2 linked regions of the Sus scrofa genome follow. The protein of the gene in region 1 purifies or fractionates together with the protein of each later gene. This does not show direct contact. Links are inferred from orthologs where the notes say so. Each region holds a gene or a part of one and is shown on either strand. Other genes may lie near its edges.

What was found.
Region 2: the proteins of CTNND1 (region 1) and CDH2 purify together in Homo sapiens (affinity purification with western blotting; 6 studies listed by BioGRID and IntAct, with this or other methods). This does not show direct contact. The link is inferred for Sus scrofa from reciprocal best matches to the Homo sapiens genes CTNND1 and CDH2.

What each region holds. Positions count from the first base shown.
Region 1 is NC_010444.4:13,167,483-13,171,300, reverse strand, and holds part of CTNND1 (catenin delta-1), read left to right. Parts: intron 1-46; coding exon 47-164; intron 165-1,099; coding exon 1,100-1,253; intron 1,254-1,658; coding exon 1,659-1,676; intron 1,677-2,125; coding exon 2,126-2,194; intron 2,195-3,266; coding exon 3,267-3,394; intron 3,395-3,499; coding exon 3,500-3,650; intron 3,651-3,818. UniProt on the Homo sapiens protein: Key regulator of cell-cell adhesion that associates with and regulates the cell adhesion properties of both C-, E- and N-cadherins, being critical for their surface stability.
Region 2 is NC_010448.4:112,429,778-112,433,595, reverse strand, and holds part of CDH2 (cadherin-2), read left to right. Parts: intron 1-584; coding exon 585-818; intron 819-1,124; coding exon 1,125-1,358; intron 1,359-3,568; coding exon 3,569-3,708; intron 3,709-3,818. UniProt on the Homo sapiens protein: Calcium-dependent cell adhesion protein; preferentially mediates homotypic cell-cell adhesion by dimerization with a CDH2 chain from another cell. Cadherins may thus contribute to the sorting of heterogeneous cell types.

The sequences.
Region 1 (3,818 bases):
TTTCTGGATTTTAGTCATCTTGAAGCCTCTCTTTTTTTCTTCTCAGGAATGTCAGCTCCGAGAGGAGTGAAGCTCGCCGGAAACTTCGGGAATGTGATGGTTTGGTGGACGCTCTCATTTTCATTGTTCAGGCTGAGATTGGACAGAAAGATTCAGACAGCAAGGTAGGTTAGTGGGTGAGTGAATTCCATGTACTATAACCATGAGATACTCATAATGCAGACCTATCACCTCAGGCTTTCAAGTAACACCAGATACTGGTCTCTACTCCTTAAAGTGGGTATTCACCTTAGAAGAAAAATGTGTTTTTTAGAATGTCCTGCATCTATTTTTTTTTCTTCTTCTTTTTACAGCAGCCTCTGTGGCATATGGAAGTTCTGGGCTAGGGATTGAATTGGAGTTGTAGCTTGCAGCAATGCCGGATTATTAACCCGCTCAGAGAGGCCAGGGATGGATCCTGCATCCTCACGGATGCTATTTCAGGTTCTTCACCTGCTGAGCCACATCGGGAACTCCTGCACCTGTGTATTTTATTTATCTGTTTGTTTGTTTATTTATTTTTCTTTTTAGGGCCGCACCCATGGCATATGGAGGTTCCCAAGCTAGGGGTCAAATTGGAGCTGTGGCTGCCAGCCTACACCACAGCCATAGCAACATGGGGTCTGAGCCTCGTATGACCTACACCAAAGCTCATGGCAATGCCAGATCCTTAACCCACAGAGTGAGGCTAGGGATCGAAGAACCTGTGTCCTCATGGATGCTAGTCAGATTCTTTTCTGCTGAGCTATGACCGGAACTCCTGCACCTGTATATTTTAAAGCTGTTTAGCGATACTTCCAATTTTTTTCTAATTAGGAAAAAGTCAGAGTGACCTGAGTTTTGTGTTACACACCAAATGGTAGCAGAAACCTTCTGTTAGCCTGAGGCTACAAGAATTTTGAGGAGCCTTGGGCACTTAAGAGGTATTGTTAGAGAGGAGGATTGGGCTATGCTTTTGAAGATCAATATTTTAATACCTGAATTCTGGAAACTGTACTTGCTAGGAAATCACTGTAGTCATTCTCTTCTCTTATCGCACCTTGTATCTTCTGATCCTAAGCTTGTGGAGAACTGTGTTTGCCTCCTTCGGAACTTGTCATATCAAGTTCACCGGGAAATCCCACAGGCAGAACGATACCAAGAGGCACCTCCCAATGTTGCCAACAATACTGGGCCACATGCTGCCAGTTGCTTTGGGGCCAAGAAGGGCAAAGGTGAGTCTTGGTTCCTTGTTCCTTGCTCTTTAATGTAGGACGGGGAGAAGAAGGAACCCTTTTAGCATTAGGTATAAAATACTTGCCCAGCAGTGCAGGAATCTGCCTAGTCACGGGTATCTTTTGGCTCTGCTGCTGCTTTCCCTGTGTCGTGTGTGCTTCATCATGGTGGTGACGATGGTGGTGGTGGTGGTGGTGGTGGTGGTATAAGTGATTGGGCAGTGAAAGCTGAGAACGCAACTAATCTGGGGCCTTCTCCCCCATTCCTCCTTTGTGTTTCCTATGTTTTTCTTTTCCTTTCTGTTTTCCTGCTTATTTTCCCATGATCCTGTTGACACCTCTCTCCCGCATTTTTCTTCCTTCATTTCTCTCCTCTGCTTTCCACCTTGGGTGATGCACTGGAAGATGAGTGGTTCTCCAGAGGTGAGTGGAATCTTTTAAGGCGCTTACCTACTTCTAATTGCATGTTTCAGTTTTAGCTTCCCTGGTATTTCCTTGCCTAACCCTTCCCTGTGGATGCATGTAGGAAAATTCAGTTGAGGAAGACCATTGAAACAAGTTGAGCTCTTCTGAGCTAATGGCTCATAGCATGCTATTTCTGGGCAGCAGCCCCAGTTGTCAGAACCCAGGACAGTAGCAACAATCGTGGTTATCCTTGTCTACCCATTTGCTGCCTGTTTTCTGTTCTTGTTTCTGCATAGCCCCCTGCTGGGACAAGCTGGTAACCCTGGGTTTTTTGTTTCTTTTTTGTTTTTTGCCCCTCTTGATGCATCTCTGATCCAAAGTTTTTGACTAAAGAGTAAAAAAAGATACCAGGTAGACTCTTCTCTTTCTTAAACATTTTACCCTTTCCCCCTTTTTAATTTCCAAAGGGAAAAAACCCACAGAGGATCCAGCAAATGATGCAGTGGATTTCCCTAAAAGAACTAGTCCTGCTCGAGGTAAGCTCTCTTTTTCTTTTCAGGTTCCATGGGTCTCATAAACATAGTCCACAGATAAGTATTTGGCAGCCTAACAGTAGGCTATACAGTATGTTCACTGTTCCGTCTTTGAAGGGTTTGAAATGATGAAAGTGTTTGGAAACTTTAGTATTAGAACAGTAACTTTCTTTTCTTTTTCTTTCTCTCACCTTTTTTTTTTTAAGGGCTGAACCTTTGGCATATGGAAGTTCCCAGGCTAGGTAGGGGTCCAACTGGAGCTGTACCACTGGCCTATGCCACATCCACAAAAATGTCCAGATCTGAGCCGAGTCTGTGACCTGCACCACAACTCATGGCAATGCCCCTGATCCTTAACCCGCTAAGGGAGGCCAGGGAGCCTTTGAAAATTAGAGCAGTAAATTTCAAAGGTCTTCTTGTGGCAGCTATTCAGATTACTTGAGGATAAGGTCCCAATTGTAGTCTAGACCAGAAACTTACATGCCCTTGTTGGGACTTACACTTTACCTTTTGTAAGAAGTCTCTTTGTCACAGCTTGGATCTTTATGTTCATCAATACGATGAATCCAAAATTCATAGCTCTCCATAGATACAGAACTTTAGATATTGTTAAATCTCATGGATACCAGTCAGGTTCGTTATCGCTGAGCCACAACGGGAACTTAGATATTGTTAAATCTGTAAGTGGCTCTTTTACTTAATCATAGTTAAGGTGGGCAGGATGTTTCAGTTAAGTTAGAAATAATTCATTTGAGATGAGGAATCTTTAACTCTCAGTGCTATCGATGAGTAAATGAATCCTTTGAATCCCAAGCAAAGCCAAAGTAAACTGTGGGAGAGAAGAGGCTAGGAGGAAGGAGAGAAGGAGTTGCACATATCTGTTCTGCTCTTGCCAAGGATGAATTATTCTTGAGAAGGCATGGAGTCCAAGTTTGCTGTTGGCTAGGGGAAAGTGTGTAGGGAGTCCACTGGTATAGGAGCATAAACCCGTCAATCCAGAGTACTAACGCTGGACCTGAGCCTTGGTGATAGGTTCTGATAAGCATCCTCTGCTTTCTTGCCCTTTCTTGTGTAGGCTATGAACTTTTATTTCAACCAGAGGTGGTTCGGATATATATCTCACTCCTCAAAGAGAGCAAGACTCCTGCCATCCTAGAAGCCTCAGCCGGGGCCATCCAGAACTTGTGTGCTGGGCGCTGGACGGTGAGTACATTTTCAAAATGAATTTGGAGATGGGAGGACTTAGCTAACTAGTGTGCTGCCTGCCACTTGAAATCCCTTCTTCCCCTTTCCATGCGCTGTTTGTAGTATGGTCGATACATCCGCTCAGCTCTGCGTCAAGAAAAGGCTCTTTCTGCCATTGCTGACCTCCTGACTAATGAACATGAGCGGGTTGTGAAAGCTGCATCTGGAGCACTAAGAAATCTGGCTGTAGATGCTCGCAACAAAGAGTTAATTGGTAAGGAATTGGATCTTAACCATTACCTCAGTGTCTGGTAGAGTGCCTTTAATCCAGCAGGTGCTAAATAATCTGTGAAAGGGCTGAGGAAGGCTCCTAGACTTCCATAGTTTGTGAATCTGAGGGTTGGAGAGGGTTATAGTTTAATGGTTCTTTGGAAGGCAAGAC
Region 2 (3,818 bases), on another chromosome or scaffold:
GCAATTGATTGATCAGTAAATACCATATCTATTCTCTATGGCCTTTCTTCCCAAGATGAGGTCTGTGGGTCTGCAGAACTTGTCTGTAGCCTGTTTCAATATTTCAGAGTTGTGTCTGAGCTGGAAAAGTATTCCCAGGTTCTTTCATGAGCACGTCTTGGTTCTCTATCAGAGTAGGGACCATAAGATTGTAAGCCTTGTGTTCTGCATCTCTTACAACCCCCAGTGCCTAGGGGATGCTGGTGTGCATGGGAGGGGCATGTAAGGACTGAAAGGGCAGGGAAGGCACTGGTCACACTTGGTGGCCACTGGGGGGGAAGGGGGGGACAGGTTGCATGTGTGCGCATTGTTATTGCCCACAGCAGTGCCCCGGACTCAGCATGGGTGACGCAGAGACGTTGTAGAAAAGAAGCAAGAAGTGGCCTTGTACCAAAAACAGTCTGCATAGAGGCTCTGGCAACTAGATTTTTCCAAAGTTATGCAGTGATGGGGCCAGAAGTCTAGAAGCTTTGAGATTTCACCATAATTGAAACTCATGGGAGGGTACTGTTTAGCAACGGTCTGTGATTTTTCTCCTTTTCAAGGAATTCCTCCTATGAGTGGAACAGGAACCCTGCAGATCTATTTACTTGATATTAACGACAATGCCCCGCAAGTGTTACCTCAGGAGGCGGAGACTTGTGAAACTCCGGACCCCAATTCAATTAACATTACAGCACTTGACTATGACATTGATCCAAATGCTGGGCCATTTGCTTTTGATCTTCCTTTGTCTCCAGTGACTATTAAGAGAAATTGGACCATCACTCGACTTAATGGTAAGAACAGGTTAATTATTTGAATGTATGTGCAGTTGAGAGGCATTGAAGCCTGATGTGAAACATTAATTTTAAGGGCTTTATAGTCCTCTCATTAAATATATTTTTAAAGCTACTTAAAGTTTAAATAAGATATCAAAAGCCCCTTAATCCAAAAAAACAGTCCACAATGCAGGATAGTTGAAATCTACTTTATATATACTCTTAGGTAGGCATACATCCTAGAAAATGGTCTGTGGGTTGGAGTTGTATTATGTATGGGCTGTGTATAAACTATCAGACTGTATTTTTTCCTTTTTTGTGTAGGTGATTTTGCTCAGCTTAATTTAAAGATAAAATTTCTTGAAGCCGGGATCTATGAAGTTCCAATCATAATCACGGATTCGGGTAATCCTCCCAAATCAAATATTTCCATCCTTCGAGTGAAGGTTTGCCAGTGTGACTCCAACGGGGACTGCACAGATGTGGATAGAATTGTAGGGGCGGGGCTGGGCACAGGTGCCATCATTGCCATCCTGCTCTGCATCATCATTCTGCTCAGTAAGTACTGATCGTCTCTTGGGTTTAATTCTCTTTGCTTCTGGGATGTTAAGCCAGGTAACTCTTTTTTTTTTTTTTTCCCTGCTTTTTAGGGCCGTACCCACGGCATATGGAGGTTCCCAGGCCAGGAGTCAAATTGGAGCTGTAGCTACTGGCCACAGTCACAGTCATAGCAACGCAGGATCTGAGCCATGTCTGTGACCTACACCACAGCTCACGGTAATGCCTGATTCTTAACCCACTGAGCGAGGCCAGGGATCAAACCTGCATACTCATGGATGCTAGTCAGATTCGTTTCTGCTGAGCCACAACAGGAACTCCTAGCCCAGTAACTTTTTATTGTTGCCCTTCCATGTAATCCAACAATGCTCTTCAGCCTCTGGGCATTTTCTTGCAACCAAGTCTACTGGAGAAGGAGAAAAACCCTGAGCATCCTTTCAAGCCCTTCCACGTTTGCAGCAAACCCAGCCAGCCTACCCTGCCCTACTGCTGTTTCCTGATTCTAGTCCCTTGAGGAACTGTAGCAGACTCTTATCATAGAAAAATGTTAGACAGTCCTAGGTTTGGGCACTTATCGTATGATTTGAGTCTGAATTTATGGTACACAGTTGATAATTTAGGAAAATAAGTATATAGCTTTCCTTCAGTTTCCTTCATATAAAGCACAGTCAGCAACCTGCTCCAGTCATGCAAGGATCAAGGTATTTGTTTCCAAAGGGCTGCATAAAATAGCAAGAGATGGTACTGCATACAGCACATTTGATAATAGGAATGATTACACAGCTCAGTAAATTGTCTGTCTTTAGAACAAGTTCAGATTAAGGAATTGCTCCTTTTTTAGATACTTTGCAGTCTTTGGTTCAATGGAATGCAAGAAATTAACCACTGGAAAGTACTCTAGGAACCACTTCTAAGCACGCAGGTTAAAAGAATAAATTGCCTGGACCCTGTGTTTTATTGTTGAATAGCAGCAGGACTTAGTTTATTGTGTGATCATGCTATGCACCAATCACTTTCTTAAAAATGTTGGCCATTTCTTTTATGTTTTCTCCATTTACGAGTGTTCTGGTAATTTAGAATCCTGTCCTTTTTTTTTTTTTTTTTTCTAAGCAATTACTATAGAAGCCTGAGCATTTTTTACTTCCTGTGTGGAGACTACTTTGACTATAATTTGAAACCTGCATGCTATACTAATAATCCACTTGCTAGATTTAGCCCTAGAACAATGGTAAATGAGATCATGTATCTGGCTTTAAAAGGAGGATATTTACTTTTATGGCCAATAATAAAAATGTGCTCAAATAGGAGTCATTAAATCTTTTGCTTCAGGATGTAAACTGATAGCCCCAGATTTTAGAGAGAATGCATTCCTAGATGTGCACTTAGGGATATGTTTCACTTTCAACTAAAACGTGGCATATGTGCCAGCCTTACCAAGAAAGACTTAGATCTGATGGATTGTGGTGTGAAGAAGTGACTCCAGCAGTTCTGAAGGAAAATGAATCAGGCCTGATGTTCACATCCACCTGCTGGAAAATTTATGGTCGAAGGACAAAAATGTAAAGCATGAAAGCTTAATGTTATTTCAGGGCTCGAACTAATGCCATAGCCTCCTTACCTGAAACATGCAGTTGAATATGAAAAGGAATGCACAATGACACAGTGGAAAGATCTAGGCCTTTGGGAGTCAAAAACGCTCAAGATCCGGTTGCTGCTGCAGGTGTAGTTCACTGTCAAAGTCATCTTGGCAAGCACTTCCCCTCCTTGACAAGCACCCCTTCTCTCTAATTTGGGGAATATATTGATGACTCCCAAGCAGGATGAAACAGCAATTCAATGACAAGTACTGATTTTACTTACTGTTTGTTGTTTTAGAATCTACCAGCCATTATATTAAGCGGAGCCTATCCTCCAGCAAGACAAAGTAAAGGATAGAAATAGTTATTGTCCCCATTTGTAGATGGTAAAACTGAGGACAGATGTCCACTCAGTGAGTTCACAGGGTATCAATTTCTTGACACGAACCCTAGTGCTCTGGGCCTCTGCTTTGTCTTGTTTCTCGTCATGTGAGGCCAAAAATAAGAGAGTGGACAATGCGGTACAAGTTTTCCACCCATATACGTATAAAGTATTAGAGTGGAAGACTGTGATTAGATAGGTCGAGTGTTTTAAATGACTGTGGATTCCTTTTTACTCTTTTCCTGCCTTAGTCCTTGTTCTCATGTTTGTGGTATGGATGAAGCGCCGAGATAAAGAACGCCAGGCCAAGCAACTTTTAATTGATCCAGAAGATGATGTAAGAGATAATATTTTAAAATATGATGAAGAAGGTGGAGGAGAAGAAGACCAGGTGAGCAGTAGTTTAGATCTTTACGTGAAATTTTATGAACGTACATTTAAAATGGTGGGGAAAATGTTAATACATCAAGTAAAAGAATGGTGTCAAGTTTCTTTTCCTTC